2 linked regions of the Notamacropus eugenii genome follow. The protein of the gene in region 1 purifies or fractionates together with the protein of each later gene. This does not show direct contact. Links are inferred from orthologs where the notes say so. Each region holds a gene or a part of one and is shown in the gene's direction. Other genes may lie near its edges.

Region 1 (7,927 bases):
AAGGGTCACTAGATCCAGCATGGGAGAGAGGAAGGGGATTGGGGGGGAGGGAAGATGGATAGGGCAGCTTCCCAAGCAGGCACATTTGGGCAGGGTGACCAGCCAAGCTCACTCACTTCTACACTGCCTGTCTGGGAGCGCAGCACACGTCCAGCCCACGAGGATCGGGCCAGGTGCAAGAGGCATGACCGCTGGAAGGTCTGTACCTCATCCTCCAGGCACCGCAGGCGTGCATGGGCCTCCTGAAGCTGATTCTCCAGCTCTGTCTTCTCCTATAGGGAGAGATGAGAAAGGGTCTGCAGAGCCCCAGGCCCAGCGGCCCCAGGGGGAGGAACAACTCTGCAACCTGGAGAGAGCAGCCAGCCTGGGGGGAGGAGGGCACCAGCCCCAGCAGACTGGGGGCGGGGGTGGGGTGGGGTGGGGGGGTACCAGGCCCAGCAGACTGGGGTGGGAGGGTTGGTCCAGGTTCAGGAGCCTCAGGCCTACAGAAGAGACACACTTGGCAGGCTTGCTCCTTTTGGGCACTCAGCTCCTGAGTCATCTTGTCAATCTGCTGCTGCAAGGCTTTGATCTGCTCCCGGGAGGTCCTGTAGGAAGGTCAGAGCAGGGGTGTGTGGGAGGAAGGTACACAGGGAGGGGACAGAAGCCTGATGGGGAAGGGGGCCCTGAGGGTTACAGACCTTTCTGGCTTCGAGTCTGTCAGCTCATGGAGAATGTAAGTCATCCGCTTTCCAGATGGACACTGAGCAGCCTTCCGAAGAGCTTCAATTTCCAGCTCCTTTTGAGCCAGCAGCAGCCTCAAGACTTTTGGATCCAGGTGCTCCAAACGGCAACTGTAACCACCATATCTGTAGCCCTTGAACCCTGGCACTGGTCCCAGGTTCCAGAGCTGGACACGATCCTGGCCTTGAATGCTCAGCCGGGACCTCCTGGACTCTAGCCCCAGTAGCAGAGGCCTTACATTCCAGCCCTGGTGTCCCCCCCGACTCCCTGCCCCGGCCCCTGGACCCTCCATTAGGGCTCTTACTTCTGGCTGTTGGGAGACATCAAGAAGGAGACAGAAGACAACTTGCCATTGGCACCTTCAGGCATTGTTCCGGATTCTGTGGCCTCCAGGAAGTCGCTGCTCCACATGAAGGAGGGCCAGGAGATGGTCCAAGAGGGGTCATGGACCTGGAGCCCCTGTCCCAAGTCACTTCCCAGCTGCTCCAGGCTGGAGGAGGCATCTCCCCCCTGCTCCACAGGCTGCCCAGCCATCCTTGGTGTTCCTGGGGGGAGCCGCCTGGGAGACAGGCTGGGCTGCTGCAGCCGACTAGAGGTGCCCACCTACGGAGCAGAAGAGGGGACAGACTCTCCAGCCGCCTGTATAGTGTCCCAATCCCTGGGGGTCCTCCCAGATGCCACCAGCTCTAGTGGAGCGAGGCGTGGCAGGATTCCTTAGTCCCATTTTACAGATGAGAAAACTGCCTCAGAGTTTCAGGTTTCTGCTCCCCCCCAAACTGAACCAGAGGCTGCTGGTGGTCAATCTTCCCTCTCAATTATCCAGCTCTGGCAACTACCCCTCCCCCCTCACCTGAGGCAGACTGTGAGCTCAGGGTTCTGGAGCCCAGGCTTTGTTGCTGTTTCCACGGTTACGAGCCACCTCCTGCCCCAAAGGCCCCAGAAGGAGGGGCTGTTTGTGCTCCAGCATTTCATATGCCTCAATTGTTCCTTCTGGCACACTAGGCTCTAGCAGGGGTGGAACTGGGAAGAAGGAGGCTATCCTAGAGGGAGCTCACCAGCAGAAGGGCCAGCCTGCTCAGTTTGGCCTCTTCTGGGGAAGTCTGGAGGAGCAAGAATCTCCTCTGTTTGAGATTCCCCCCTTCTCCTTCCCTAACTGTCCCTCCCCCAGCTAGAGCTGCTCTCTGCTGGGTCTCCTCAGAGGTGGCTCCAGACATGGGGAGCAGCCAGGTAGAGGACACAGCCACCCAGGAAGAACCATTAGAGACGTGATGATGGATCAGCTAGAATTGATTCAGCATCTCCAATGTGCCAGGCATCACACCAAGCCCAGGGGATACAAAGAAAAGGAAAAGAGTCCCTGGCCTCAAGGAGCTCCTGGTCTAAAGGGGGGACAACATAGAACGAACTTTGTATGAGTGGCCAGAAGCTCAAAGCATGAAGGGCCATCCGAAAAGGGGTCTTTCAGTAGACACTTGGAAGAAGCTAGCTAGGGAAGCTGGAGATGCAAAGGCAGAGTCCAGAAATGGAATAAACACAAGCTGGCCAGTGCCCCTGGACCCTAGAGTGTAAGGAAGAAAGAGACAATGCTTTTAAGGCCAAAAAAGATTTCGTCGTTAGTCCTAGAGGTGGCTGGGGGATGAGAAAGTGCCAGGGGGTCTGAGGGTAGAAGGTCATTTACGAGATCATTGGTGACTTGAGGAGGGCAGATTTAATCAAATGATGTGAACAGAAGAGTGAGGAGTGGCAATGCTGGTTGTAGATGGCTTTCTCCAGGAATTCAGCCACAAAAAGAAAAAGAGAAGGGGGTAGGGGCAGCTAGAGACGGTAGGGATCAGGAAAGAGGTTCTTTTTCCAGGGTTGGGGGCGTGTTTGTAGGTCATACACAGATGGAGCCAGTAGCATCAGAATGACTAGGGGCTGTCTAGAAAAGGCACTGTGGTGAGCAGGATAGTGCCTCAATCAAGGTGGCTGCCTTGGTCCAGTCGGGGTCTCTTCTTGCAGCCCTAAGGTTGGCAGTCTTTGGCTAAGAAAACAAAAGCAGTGCCCTGCTTCTCTGTCAACCATGTGTCCTACGATGCTGGGACCCTTCCCTTTCCCTGGGGAGAGCTAAAAAATGAAAACCATACATCCACTGAATTGTCCTCAGCAATCAGCAAATGTGTTAAGCACCTACTACACACTGTTGAGGTTTGGGGTGCTAGGAACCACAAAATACCAACAAGCCAGGTCCTGCTCAAAAGAATTCAACACAAGCCTTCTTAAAGCCAAAGAAAAACAACGTTTATGAAAAATTCAACATATTGGGTTGACTCTTAAGGAGCCTAAGTATTTGTAACACTTATATTCACAAGCAGGCCAGATAGAATCTCAGCTAGACAGTTTGAGCTGGATTGAATCTAAGCACCTTCATGGAGGCGAGATGGCACTTAAATACAGAAAAAGACTGAGGGGAGAATCCAGATTTTGCCAAGCAGTCTCAGGTCCCAGGGATAGTCTGGACAGGGGAGGTCAGCCTGGAATATAAATCAAACCCAGGGAGGATCCTGATGGGAGTGGCCCACAGTCCAGACAATCCACAATCCTGGCTGGGCCACTGGGACCTCAAGAGAATGCTAAGAAGTGGCAGGAAGGGAGGAATCATGAGAATGTTAAATCAAGTAAGGGGAATCCAAGGAGCCCCCCAAGGCCAGGCTTTCCGAGGCCCTTCAGACAAATGGGACCAAAACCCTCCCACTCCAAGAGACAAAGGTCTCGGCTTGGGCTTGTACCCCATCAGCCCCAGATACCATTCCAAAGATAAAAAAGGGTTGAGGTCTAATAGGGGAAATAATCTGGATGTGAAAAAAAGTATATCCAGTATATACATATATAGTGCCTTCACCGCTGTCTCCAACGGGGCCTGTCTACAGCTCAGTTATACCCAAGTGTTTGCAGGTTGTCACCTCCATTAAATTGGGAGTACATCGAGGAGAGGGGCTGGCCCTTAGCACAGTGCCTGGCACACGGCAGACTGTGCTTAATAAATGCTTATTTCCTTCTTCCTCTAACTCTTGGACCTTGGGCAAGTCACTTAACCCCAGCTGTCTCATCCTGGGTCATGTCCAGTCATACTGATGAGTATCTGGTCACTGGATTCAGATGGCTCTGGAGGAGAAGTGAGGCTGGTGACCTGCACAGTCCTCCCTCACTCAACATAAAGTCCAGTGCAAGTCATGTCATCATTTCTCCGATGGGTGGTCTTCTTCAGCAAGGAAGGACGAACACACACAACTCGTGGAGGAGGTAACGCTTGAGCTGGGGTTTTATAGAAGGCAGTTGGGGGGGGGTGATGTCTTCACTTGGCCTGAACTGCATTTCAGTGAAGTAGAGCTGCACTCACTCTCTCTTCTAGAGTCATCAGAGTCCAACAGCACGACAAAAGTCAAGGCAGACCCAAGCACTCGGCAGCGCCTGCTTCAGCAGCCTTCAGGGCAGATTGCTCCTGTCTGCCCATTCCCCTGGGGAAGTCTTCAGGTGCTTGGGGGAGACGACCCCCTACCTCTACCCTCAGTGGGGCGGATCCACGTGCCACAGCATCTGGGAGCCAGCGGCCGGACCTCCCTGAACACCCTGGACCGTGTTAGCACAGGGTCTGAGGCTCCTCTCCCTCCACCTCGAGGTCCCACGAGTAGCCTTGGAGAGGGGCAGCCGCTCCGGGTGATGCCCCCCAGGATGAGTGCGCAACCCCTCTTCCAGCCCTCTCGCAGCGCCCCTTCCCCACACCTCCCCTGCCCAGCCCCCCTCTGCCTCTCCATCTCAGGCCCCTCTCGCTCCCCTCTTCCCTTTCTGAGACCCCTCATCCTCCCCCACCACCCAGCACCCAAGAACCGCGTCTGAGACGCGCCGCCGGCCGGTCCCACAAGCCCTGGCGCTCCGCCAGGAGTGTCGGGCGGGGCCTCAGGATAATTCGCGGGGAGAGGACACCACGTGGGCGCCAATGGCTACTGTGACAAATGGATCCAAACGAGCCCGAAGCCGCGCGTGCGCAGACCGAAGGCGGCGGCCGCGCCGTAAGCTCCGCCCCCCGCCGCTGTCCCACCTCTCCCACCTTGCCCCCACTCAGCTTCAAGGCAACAGCCAGTGACGCGCAGCGGGAGCGGGAGCGGTAGGAAAGGTGGGAGATGAGACAAAAGCCAATGGGAGGACGGCAAAGAAGGGGCGGGTCGGCTGCTGAGGGACCAATGGACGGAGAGGTGAGGCCCACCGTTCCGAACAGGTACCCGGAAATCAAGTTCCTCCGGACAAGTCGTGGCTTGGTCAAAGGTCAGAAGTGACAAACCGGGCAACGAGAAAACCATTCCCCCACGCCACGGGCAAGGGGACCCAGGCGTCCGGATTGGAGGACGACTTTGACCGCGGACTTCCGAGAGGCCGCGAGCCACGACCCCTGGAGTTTGGGGAGGTGACCGAACCACGTGACTACACCAAGCCCCTCCCATACCTGTGACCGATGGAAGCGGGGCGGGGCGACAACCAGGTAAACCAGACCCGGCTGGAGGCGTGGGAGCGGAGCCAGGCTCTCCAGCCAATAGATGCCTGACGTAGGGCTGTGAGGCGGGGCCGGAGTCCGTGAGTGGCCAACGGGAGCTCTAGGTGGGGTGGGGTGGGGCAACAGGCATCCGGCCAATAAGGGTGAGGCGTGGGACCGCGGGGCGAGCTCACCACTGCGACCAATGGGCGCCCGGGGTGGGGCGGGGGCGGGACAACAGGCGTAGGGCCAATAGGGGCGCTGGGTGGAGCGGGGCTCGCAGAATCAGCCAATCACGCCGTGGCGTGGGGCTGCGGGGAGGGGTTGCCGGAGCCCGAACCGAGCCGAGCCGGAGCTGGAGCTAGGTTGGTCGGTTTGGATCTGCGGGGAGAGGCTCCGACGGTATGCTCTGAACTGTTGGGTTCTCCTGCTGGGGTGACCTTTGCTAGGGTCAGCCGCTGCTTTTTTGGACCTGGGGGCCGGGGGTCAGAGGTCCTGCTGACCTCTGACCCCGCCCCCCAAACGGGAGCCGGGCTGAGGAGGCAGGGGTTAATGGCCTGGGTCCCCCCTGGGGTGGAGAGCAGAGTTCTGGGCCTTTAAGGGGCCCCTCTGGGGAGCGGGGTGTGGGGGTGGGGGAAGAGCCCAGAGCGCCCCACAACCTGCTGAACGGGGAGGGGTGCCCCTCCCTCCTTCCCCAGGTCCCGCCGGGGATGCCCCGGCCCTGCCCCCGCCCCCATGGAGCTGAAGGTGTGGGTGGACGGAGTACAGCGTGTGGTCTGCGGCGTCTCGGAGCAGACCACCTGCCAAGAAGTGGTCATCGCCCTGGCCCAAGCCCTAGGTGAGCGGGGCAGCCCCTGAGCTGCTGGGGGGGGGGGGGGGGTGCCTGGTGCCAGGGCTCCTCCCCCAAGACCACCTTCTCCTCTTTCCCAGGGCAGACTGGCCGCTATGTGCTCATCCAGCGCCTCCGAGACAAGGAGCGGCAAATGTTGCCCCAGGAGTGCCCCGTGGGGGCCCAGGCCACATGCGGACAGTTTGCCAGTGACGTGCAGTTTGTCCTGCGGCGCACAGGGCCCAGTCTTGCCGAACGGCCTGCCTCAGACCCCTGTCTGCCCCCAGAGCGGTTCCCTGTGCCGGCCAGCCTTCCCCACAGGCCTCTGCCCCCCGCCCCCCATGACTCCCCCAGCCCAGCCAAGGAGGACGTAGAAGGGGAGCTGTGGGGCCTGGAGCACCTGGTCCAGAGCAATGAAGCCGAGCTGGACCAGGAGGGCTTCTGGGCCCAAGAGCTGCGGCGGGAAGTGCAGCAGGAGCTGGAGCGCCAGAGCCGGGTGCGGGAACTGCAGGCGGCCACTGAGGAGTGCGCCCGGCGTCTTCGAGAGCTGGACGCTCAGGCCCGAGCCCTGGAGGAGGAAATCAGCTGGCGGCGAAGGCAGCAGCGGCAGCAGGAGCTGCCTGGCCCCCGAAGGCCCCAGGATGAGGCTGCCGCTGCCCGACTCCACAGAGATCTGCAGACCCAGGCCCTGCAGAGTGAGCGACTAGAAAGCAGCCTGGCCAGCGTTGGCCGGGCCCTGGCGGAAGCCGAGCAGAGCCTGCAGGTGAGGCCAGCCTGATCCATCGCCTTCCAACCCCCCTGAAGGAAGGGATCAGGCCTCTTCATGGCTCCCCTCTCCCACCCATCCAGGCCCAGGCCCAGGAGGTGGAAGAGCTGAATAGGGAGCTCCGACAGTGTAACCTGCAGCAGTTCATCCAGCAGGCCGGGCCAGCACTGCCCCCACGATCCCAGGGCCCTGAGTCCAGCCAGGTGAGAACCTTGGGAGCTGGGTCCCAGGAGGAACACCCCCTTCCTGGGCTCCCTCGGCTCACTCCCTGTTTGCTGCAGGATCCTTCAGCCTCACCAACAAGCCCATCCCACGCCTTCCCAAGATGTCCAGCGTGAGCCCCAAAGCCCACGTAAGTCTGCTGTCCCTGCACCTCGAGGAAGAAGACTCGGAGGAAAACCCCTGTGTGTCTGCCTGTCTGGCACCTTCCTTTCACTCAGCTTCATTGGCTCTCTCTCAAAGGCAGCTCAACGGGACACTGAGGCTGTGCTGAAGATAGTCACTGCCAGGCTGGGGGACCCATGTCCCAACTATCCAGCTGGTTCCCTTCTCCAGAGGTGCTGCACTGGCCAGAGATGAGTGAAGGATCACTGGGAGAGACACATATGGGCTGGGAGGAGAGTTTTGGTGCCACTCTGCCAAAGACCTACAGACAGAAGGACAATGGTCCCACAGGCTGGCCCAGGCTCCTCTGGCTGGAACTCACTTCCTTGGACCCCTGCTATGTGGCCAGTAAACTCCTAGCAGGAGTGGGGGAGAGGGGGCCTGAGTGTATCCCTGCAGGGGAGTGTCCTTTCATCCCTCACTGTGTGGATCCCCCTGGAATAAAGGCACCTAAAGTATGTTATATCTCTGTATCCCGAAGGGTGGGGCAGGCCTGAGTTTCCCTGAGGCCTGGGCCAGTTTTGGACCCTCTCCCTCCTTCTTTCCCCTCCCTGGAAATCTGCAGTCCACTTTGTCTATTGTAATCACAACCTTCCTCTTGTCTTCAGCTCCCACCCACTGCCCCGGCCACAGACCCCCACCCCACGAATAGTCAGCTAAGTCCCTGGATGGTGTCACACCCAGAGCTGTGGACCCCTGGGGACCAAACTGCCCCTCC
Region 2 (7,716 bases), on another chromosome or scaffold:
AACCCAGGTTCTTTTCCATTTTTTTTTCAGATAGGACATCTTCTAAACAATCTGAGACTCTCAAGGCAGGGCTTGGACAGTTTCTTGGCCTTCTTCACTATGTTCCTGAAGGCAATCTTGGGACTGCCACAGCTCAAAGACACTTTAAATCTTCCATTCTGCAAGAGGCCTTTCCTAGTATCCTTCCCTGTCCCAGATGCAAATACCACCCCCTCTCAGTTTTGAAATGCTTATGGACTGACCCACTAAGCATCCCTCCTGCACAGTTGAGAAGCCAGTACCACCAACAGGATATATACTTTGATATGCTACTTCTTCTAGCAGTGAGGAAAGTTGGTCCCCAACCAGCCACACTCTCACCCTTTTCATGTTCAAGGACACACACATGCAAGTTAACTAGCCAAAGATGCCATCTCTGCTCAGGGAAAATGTTTGGCTATGGGGTGGCAAGCCAGCAGCCTCCTCCTCACTGAATATTAACCAAGTGAGCTAACTAGTTGTGACAGAGACACTCCAGCTCTGGGAGAAGGGGGACACAGTGGGACAGTGACACTCAGCCTCGGGCAATGGTTCTGTGATATCTAATGAATCCAGAGGAGACAGCTGCTCAGTCCTGGCTCAAGAAGGCAGCTCCACTGAAGCAATTTGGAGGACTTATGCCCACCATTACATAACATAATCTACCCTCCCATGTCTGCTAGTTTATACAAAGAACAGAGAGACAACTAAACCATACAGCAGTTACAGTGTGGGATTTGAAGTTAAGAAACCTGAGTTTTAATCTTCCCTCAGACACTTACTAATTGTATGACCCTGGTAAATCACTTGACCTGTGTTTGCCTCAGTTTCCTCATCTGTAAAGTGGGAATAATGCTATCACCTGCCTTGTGGTGATAGCATCAAATGAGAAAACACATATAAAATGCTTTGTAAACCTAACATACTATTATTGGTGGAGTAGAGAAGAGGAGATTTCACCACACAGGGAAAGTAGCAAATTTCAAGGAAGGATTAGTTCTAAAGTCTGCTTCACATACAAGCAAGTACACACACACACACACACACACACACACACACACACACACACACACACACACACACACACACACACACACACCCCTTCACTTCCTCTCACTCCAGCCATGTACTTTGCTCCAACAATCTCCCTGAAATATTAATGTCTCTTCCCAGGAGGCTGAACAGGAGCCATCCTGTGGACAGATGGAAGGATTTGTAGAAAGCATTTCAGAGACTCCACCAATCCCGATCCTGGACACGTGAGATGAGAAGGTGGTTAGAGTATCAATGTATCTCAAACTGTTACAGGGCAAATCCCCAGGAAAAGCTGCAGACAGTAGAATAATGTCCAAAACCCAGCCAGTGGTCCATTTCTTTCAAATATTCTCTCTTGCAACAACAGCACCAAAGATCAGTAACAGCTAATATGATAATAAGTGATAATAATATAAAAGTAATCACATTTATAAAGCATGTTAAGGACTGCAGAGAACTCTATCTATGTTATTCTCATTCAGTGATCAGAACAATCCTAAGATACTAAGACAAATAAATAGTCCCTACTCTCTTCTGTGAGAAGCAGTAGGTAGAGTGCTGGGCCTAGAGTCAGGAAGACCTGAGTTCAAATTTGACCTCAGACTCTTAATGTAAAAATGGGGATAATAATAGCACCTATCTCCCAGGGTTATTATGAGAATCAGATGCAAAGAAAAAACACTTTGCTAAGCTAGGTACACTGTATTCACATAACATGCTTACAAATGTTATCTCATTTGAATTCTCACAGCCTTTAAGGGTGGGTACTATTATTTCCATTTTATAGATGAGAAAACTGAGGCAGACAGAGTGACTTGCTCAGAGTCATACAGTTAGCAAGTGTCTGAGGTAGGATAGGTCCAGAAAGGAGATTATGAAAAAGTAAGAGATGTCAATTAATTTTTTTAAAATTCAAGACTGTATCGAATCTTTGTCTTTTTCCTGTCATGGTTGGTTCTGGCATAAAAATGTCAAACAATGAGTGTCCCTCTCCTCTGTCCCCCAGCCAAGAACAGCAGCCTCAGGTTTTCTCACCATTAAGGTAGTATCTATCTTGAGTTCCTCACCTAGTTAATCAAATTCTCCACGTGCAAAGGGAGCACAAGAAACTTTCTCTGCAGGTGAGTTACACAACCAGACCAACTTCAAAATGCGCCAAGCCTATGTGGTGACCTTGGCAGGCTTGGGAGGCTCCAACTCAGAAGAGTGTTAAGACTCCTTGTAATTTGGTAGATTGCACCCAGTTCTCCATCCAACAAAAATTACGGGCTTCTTGCTACGTATAGTGCTAAATTCATCACATTCAGACATGAGCTGTCTTGCAAGAACAAGCCAGCTGTGCACGGCTGTGCACACTGGAAATGTTTGGGGCAAGGCCCATACAACCTCTATTGAAAAACAACAGCATGCCTTGGAAAAGGCATGCAAAAAACGGCTAGCTGTGGGGCTGTTAAATTGTTCCCATTTAACAGAGAAAGACCATGAGACACTGGAGAAAAAGGCAAGTGATTCTTTCTTGGTGCCAGTTGGTGGTGAGGTTGGGCCTGGCTGCAACCCCTTAACCTCCAAGCTTTAAAGACAAGGGAGACATATACCCAGATTATATTGTACAAATATAAACACTGCAGTTTCCTGGTCAGAAAATGAATGCCACTGTATTTGGTTTTTTTCCGAAAATGAATCTTCATTGCCCTATCTTTTTTGCTTTCTGCAAATAAGTCTTCCTCCCTCCTCGTTTCTCCCTCCTCCCCCATCCTCCTTAGCCCAGACTCATCCCAGGCTGTGTCTGAGAACAGTGGGGATTTTTAGGATAGAGAGTGAAGGAACAAGAGAATTTCACTTCTCTTTCCTTAGAATGAGGTGAATTCAGCAACTCTTTATTTATTATCTCCAGGGGGGCAAGGGACACTTGGGACCCTTCTTGGAATTCTGCCTCACTCTGGGAAATAATGAGGTGTCTTTGCCCCATGGGCAGTTTGCAGGAGTGGGTTACTGAGAGGAGAAAAGAGGGGATGGAGGAAGGGAGAGAAAGATTGAGGAAAGGAGGGAAAAGAAACAGAAATGCAAAGGGAAAAAAGGGAGAATCAGAGGAGAAGGGAAGCGGGGAAGGAAGAAGGGAAAGGGGGGGGAGAGACAAGAGACAGAGAGACAGAGAGGAAGGAGGAGGAGGAGGGGGGAAAGGAGATGAGAAGCCGACTAAAAGAGGGGGCAAAAGTGGGAAGGAGAGGGAGCAAAAAGAGGGGAATAGAGGAGAGGGGAGAAGAGGGAAAAAAGAAAGAGTAAAAGAGTGTAATAAAGGGAAAGAAAGGGAAGGAAAAGAGTGAAGAAAAAGAAAAGGGGAGGAAAGGACAGAGAAAGACAAGGAGAGCCAGAGGCAGACAAAAAGGAGGTTCTTAAGTGACTTTAGTCGCCCACGTGCTCTCGCCCAGCCCGGCGCCCTTTCCTCAGACCCTGGTTCTCCTCTTGGGCCAGCCCAGCGAAGCCCCCTCGCCTTGTCCTCTGACAGAATGGGGGCATTGAAAGCATTTGCTTTTCTTCTGTACCATCCAGCCCAAAGTCCGAGCCACAGAAAGGAGGAGAAACCCTCAGCAGGGCTACGAGGCTGGACAGGGGCAGGCCTGAGCCCCCAGAGAAACAATCCACCCCCTTCCTCTTTAATCCTGACCCAGGCCAAATGCGCTGCGCTTGGGGATCCCAAGGATGCAACGGAACCTCCGGACTGTGGGGAGGGAACACCACCAGGCTGGACAGCACCAGCAGTCCAGAGCCGCTCCCGTGCGCCTCGGGCTCAAAGGGCCCGTGAGAGTTGGGAAGAGGAGCCCCAGAGCTGGGGCAGCCAACTCCAGCTCCACCATCCCTCCCAGGTCCCTGTCTGCCCCGCGCGGCTTTTCGAAATCCCTCGCTAGCTGGGGCCCTATTTGTTCCCCGGTTCGCGGAAGGACCCGGCGCAGAGCGCTGAGCGACGCGTCTCACTCCCCCCGCCCCCTCCTGCCTCGCGCGCCGAGTCCCCGCCCCCTTCCCCTTTGGCCCTAGCCCCCATAAAGAGGTCCCGGCCGCTCTGCCGCGCTGCTCCCGCGTATCCATACGCCGCCCGAGGCTGGCTGAGGAGTCGGCGGCCATTTTGTCCCTCTCGTGGCTCCAGCGGGAGAGAAGGAGGAAGAGGGAGCCTGGGGGGGGGGAGGGAGGGGACGGGAAGGGAGCCGGCCGCCGCCTCCTTCGCCGCCGTCTCCACCGCCGTCTCCACCGCCGCTTCCCCCGGTGCCTCCGCCGCCACTGCCGCTTCTCTGTGCTCTGGAGCGTGGGGAAGGGGCGGACGGGACCGTGAGTCCGGGGGCTGGGGGGCGGGCGGCGGCGCCGCCGCTGCTGCTGCTGCTGCTGGGGCCGAGCCGGGCCGAGCCGAGCCGGGCCGGGCCGGGCCGGGGGGTGGGGGGAGGGCCGGTGAGGAGGCGCCGCCGCCGCCGCCGGGGCCGGGGTGCAGGAGGAGGCGATGGCGGATATCGACAAGCTTAACATCGACAGTATCATCCAACGGCTGCTGGAAGGTGAGCTGCGGACGGGGCTCCGGGGCTGGGGGCTCCGGGGCTGGGGGGTCCTGGGGCTGGGGGCTCCGGGGCTGGGGGGCCAGGGTGGCCGTGCACGGCGGGGTTAGGGGGTGCTAGGCTCCCGCGCCCGCCGCTGCCCCGGGGGGCTCTGGGCTACCCCCGGCCGCCTGGCCTTGCAGGCTGAGATGGAGGGGGGGCACCAACAGCGAGAGCTCCCCGAACACCCTGAGCCCTCCCTGGGGAGTGACGGGGGGGCCCCCTCGTTCATGACCCCCGCCGGCGATCGAGGGGACGCACGGACACGTCCTGGATGCTCTGCCCCAATCCTTGCTTTCGCTCCCCCCGACACCCCCCCCCCCCAACCCCCGGCCCCTTGGCTTTGAATTAGAAACCGAGCTGTGAAGTAACTCCTGCCCCCCGCCCCCCGCTTCTCCTTGGCGGGTCTCTGCAGACTTTTCTGTGAGCTTGGCTAGGCTCGTCCAAAGCCGCAGGACGGCGTGTTCCGTCCCCTTCTGCTGGGGCGAGCGCCGGGTTTCTCGTAGTGGCCTCCACAAAAGCCGTTTTATGGGGTGGTTGGTTCACTAGGTTTCTAGGTTTGCGGGCTTTTGTCCAGCCCACCCTCTTTCCCTCCCTCCCCCCGCAGACCTTAGCCCTGGAGAGTATTCTTTCTAAAGTTTATAGTCGAGAGACCTGGACTTTAATGACTTCACCTTCTCTCCCCACTCCCTGCTTTAAAAAAAATACAATTCCGTTGAGTAAGTAGGCACTTATTTCACTTCTGGCATAAAACCTGAACCAAGGAGGGAAAAAGGTTCTGTTTGTTTAAGAAAAAAAATAGGTGATTCCTCCCCCCCTCCCCTTCTTGTAATAATTGAGGGCTAAAATGCACTAGTTTTGACTTGACTAAAGGATTGGAGATCGATGTAAGGAAAAGATGCGAAGCATTTCAGTAAAGCAGCCGGAGATTCAGGGCATATGAAACAAGGCTAACATTTTATCCAGACTTTCGAAGAGCTCTTGGCACTAAGTAGTCCAGCTTTGCTAAGTTTCCTGTGAAGTGCTTATCGGCCGTCCTCTTAAGAGGTTCTTTGTAATGTGAATGTTACTGGTGCTGAGGGGAGAAAGTAAAGAAGCGCATGAACCGTGTGGCATTAAAATTCCCATCTCTTTGGGGGCAAATGACCTACGGGTAATGACCCAAATGAAATTTTGTTTTCCTTCGAATAGCTTCTTTTTAAACAACAACCAAAAACCCACCTAACTGAATGTGTATGTATCCCCTTCAGTGTTGCTGACATGTTGCTACTGTTAGATGTGAGCTCTTTGTCTTGATGTTTGTTAAAGATATTTTACCAGATGAGATGATTCCGTTTTTATGAGTGTTCAGTGTAGTTCTTTGCTTACATGAAATTGCAGTTTTCCCTTGACCAGAAACCGATGAAAGCTAGATTGCATTCTCTGATGAGCAAAGAATCTGTTTAAATATCTGAAGTTGAAATTGGATAAATGGAAGAAATTGAATTCTTTCTTTTTCCTCTTGTTCATTTGTTAGGCTGGTGGGTTGCTCTTCAAAGATAAACTCTCCAGTATTTACTTTGTCACTTAAAAGGTCTTCATGTGATACTTTTATGAGTTACAGGCCTAAAACCTAGAGTCAAAGTTAACCTGTAAATGATTAAATTATGATTATTCTGTCTTTAATATGTTTTATTTATTAATGCAGTTTTTTATACCAGCATACTTGCATATTGCCTTTGGAAGCCTCATTTTACATTTCCTTACCTGTCATTTAGAAAATCTGTCATTGCAAAGCTCGTCTTGTCTCATGTAGCATGAGTTGATCATTTAACTAAATGTAATAAACTAGTATTTCCTTAATGCTTAGGTGCTGGGGAAGGCCAGCACATGAATATTTAAATAACCTGTAGCATATGCTTGGAATCAGCACTTGGGCAGTGGCTCACCATCCAAGTAGGAAGACTTAATAATGAAGTTTAGTAAGATTTTTTTGTGTGGTGGGGTTTTTAACACACACACACACCCTCCTTTTTTTAACCGTTGAGATATGTCGGGAAATAGGAAGAAAATGCTTTTTCAGCCAGTACTAGATTTCCCTCCTTGAGGCAGATCTTTTACATATTCAAAATGGACAGGCCTTTAAATTGATTTAGAAAGTTGCATGCTTGTAAGGATGATGGTGTGTGGCTCTGCAAAACCACTCCACAGTAGAGAAGCCAACTCAAAATGGATGACTTCCTTAGGTTGGCTTCAGGGTCAGTTCTTCGCAGAAGAGTTTTAATTTTAATTTATGTGAATTTTGTCAGTTTGGTTTTAGGGGTACTAAGCTTTTTCATACTATTTTTTTTCCGTCTCAGGAATGGTATTTTACATGGAACAGAAGTTGATGTGTACAGATAGTATTTTGTAAACAATCAACAATGAAGTAACTTTTGACATTAGTAGCATTCCATTTTTTAAGCTATTGTAAGATGAAGAAAAATAAACTTGCTAATAATTTCAGTAAAGGCTTGGGGATACTTGCATGTTTAAGAGGTGCACTCAGCTCATTATACTAAGTAGCAATTGTGCTTTATAAAGCATAAGATGTGCACATTAAACTCAGAACCTTTGCTCATGGTTTCTAATGGTAGTTGCCACATTTTCCTGGAAACTTAGAATGGACTGTTTATTTCTCTTTTATCAGTGGAGGCAAAATTTCTTTTTCCTTTAGAGTAGTTCTTGCCCAAAGTCATGTAAACAAGTCTGTGGTCAGGGCTGCACTCAGATTAGAATTCCATGACTTGTTTTGACATCATAGATGCAGCCTTTCTCTAAAAAGGGTATCTATAATAACCTCCTTCTGTTTAATCCTTTGAAAGCTTCCTCCTGAATAAGTACATTGGTTATATTAATAACATTAACGTACATTGGAGCAGTCATTTCTGAGGTGGAAATTCTAAAATGAAATTTCAGTTTTTAGAGCATCAAGTACCATTTAGCACTCAAGTATTAATAAAATAGGAATACTTATTCCTGGTGAACCTTTTATTGTTTGGCATTCCAAGAAAAAAATGTTTAAGATGTATTTAGTGAGTTAAATTCAGCTTATTAAGCACCTACA

Evidence for each region.
Region 2: the proteins of RASSF7 (region 1) and PPP1CC purify together in Homo sapiens (affinity purification with mass spectrometry; 4 studies listed by BioGRID and IntAct, counting the BioPlex papers as one, with this or other methods). This does not show direct contact. The link is inferred for Notamacropus eugenii from reciprocal best matches to the Homo sapiens genes RASSF7 and PPP1CC.

Annotation. Positions count from the first base shown.
Region 1 is NC_092873.1:27,747,549-27,755,475, reverse strand, and holds RASSF7 (ras association domain-containing protein 7), read left to right. Parts: upstream 1-4,895; 5' UTR 4,896-5,239; intron 5,240-5,501; exon of another isoform or gene 5,502-5,632; intron 5,633-5,928; 5' UTR 5,929-5,965; coding exon 5,966-6,068; intron 6,069-6,160; coding exon 6,161-6,822; intron 6,823-6,908; coding exon 6,909-7,163; 3' UTR 7,164-7,667; downstream 7,668-7,927. Other genes in the region: LMNTD2 (lamin tail domain-containing protein 2), read right to left, coding at 117-272, 500-587, 681-833, 1,028-1,257. UniProt on the Homo sapiens protein: Negatively regulates stress-induced JNK activation and apoptosis by promoting MAP2K7 phosphorylation and inhibiting its ability to activate JNK.
Region 2 is NC_092875.1:35,564,299-35,572,014, forward strand, and holds the start of PPP1CC (serine/threonine-protein phosphatase PP1-gamma catalytic subunit), read left to right. Parts: upstream 1-4,457; 5' UTR 4,458-4,540; coding exon 4,541-4,595; intron 4,596-7,716. UniProt on the Homo sapiens protein: Protein phosphatase that associates with over 200 regulatory proteins to form highly specific holoenzymes which dephosphorylate hundreds of biological targets.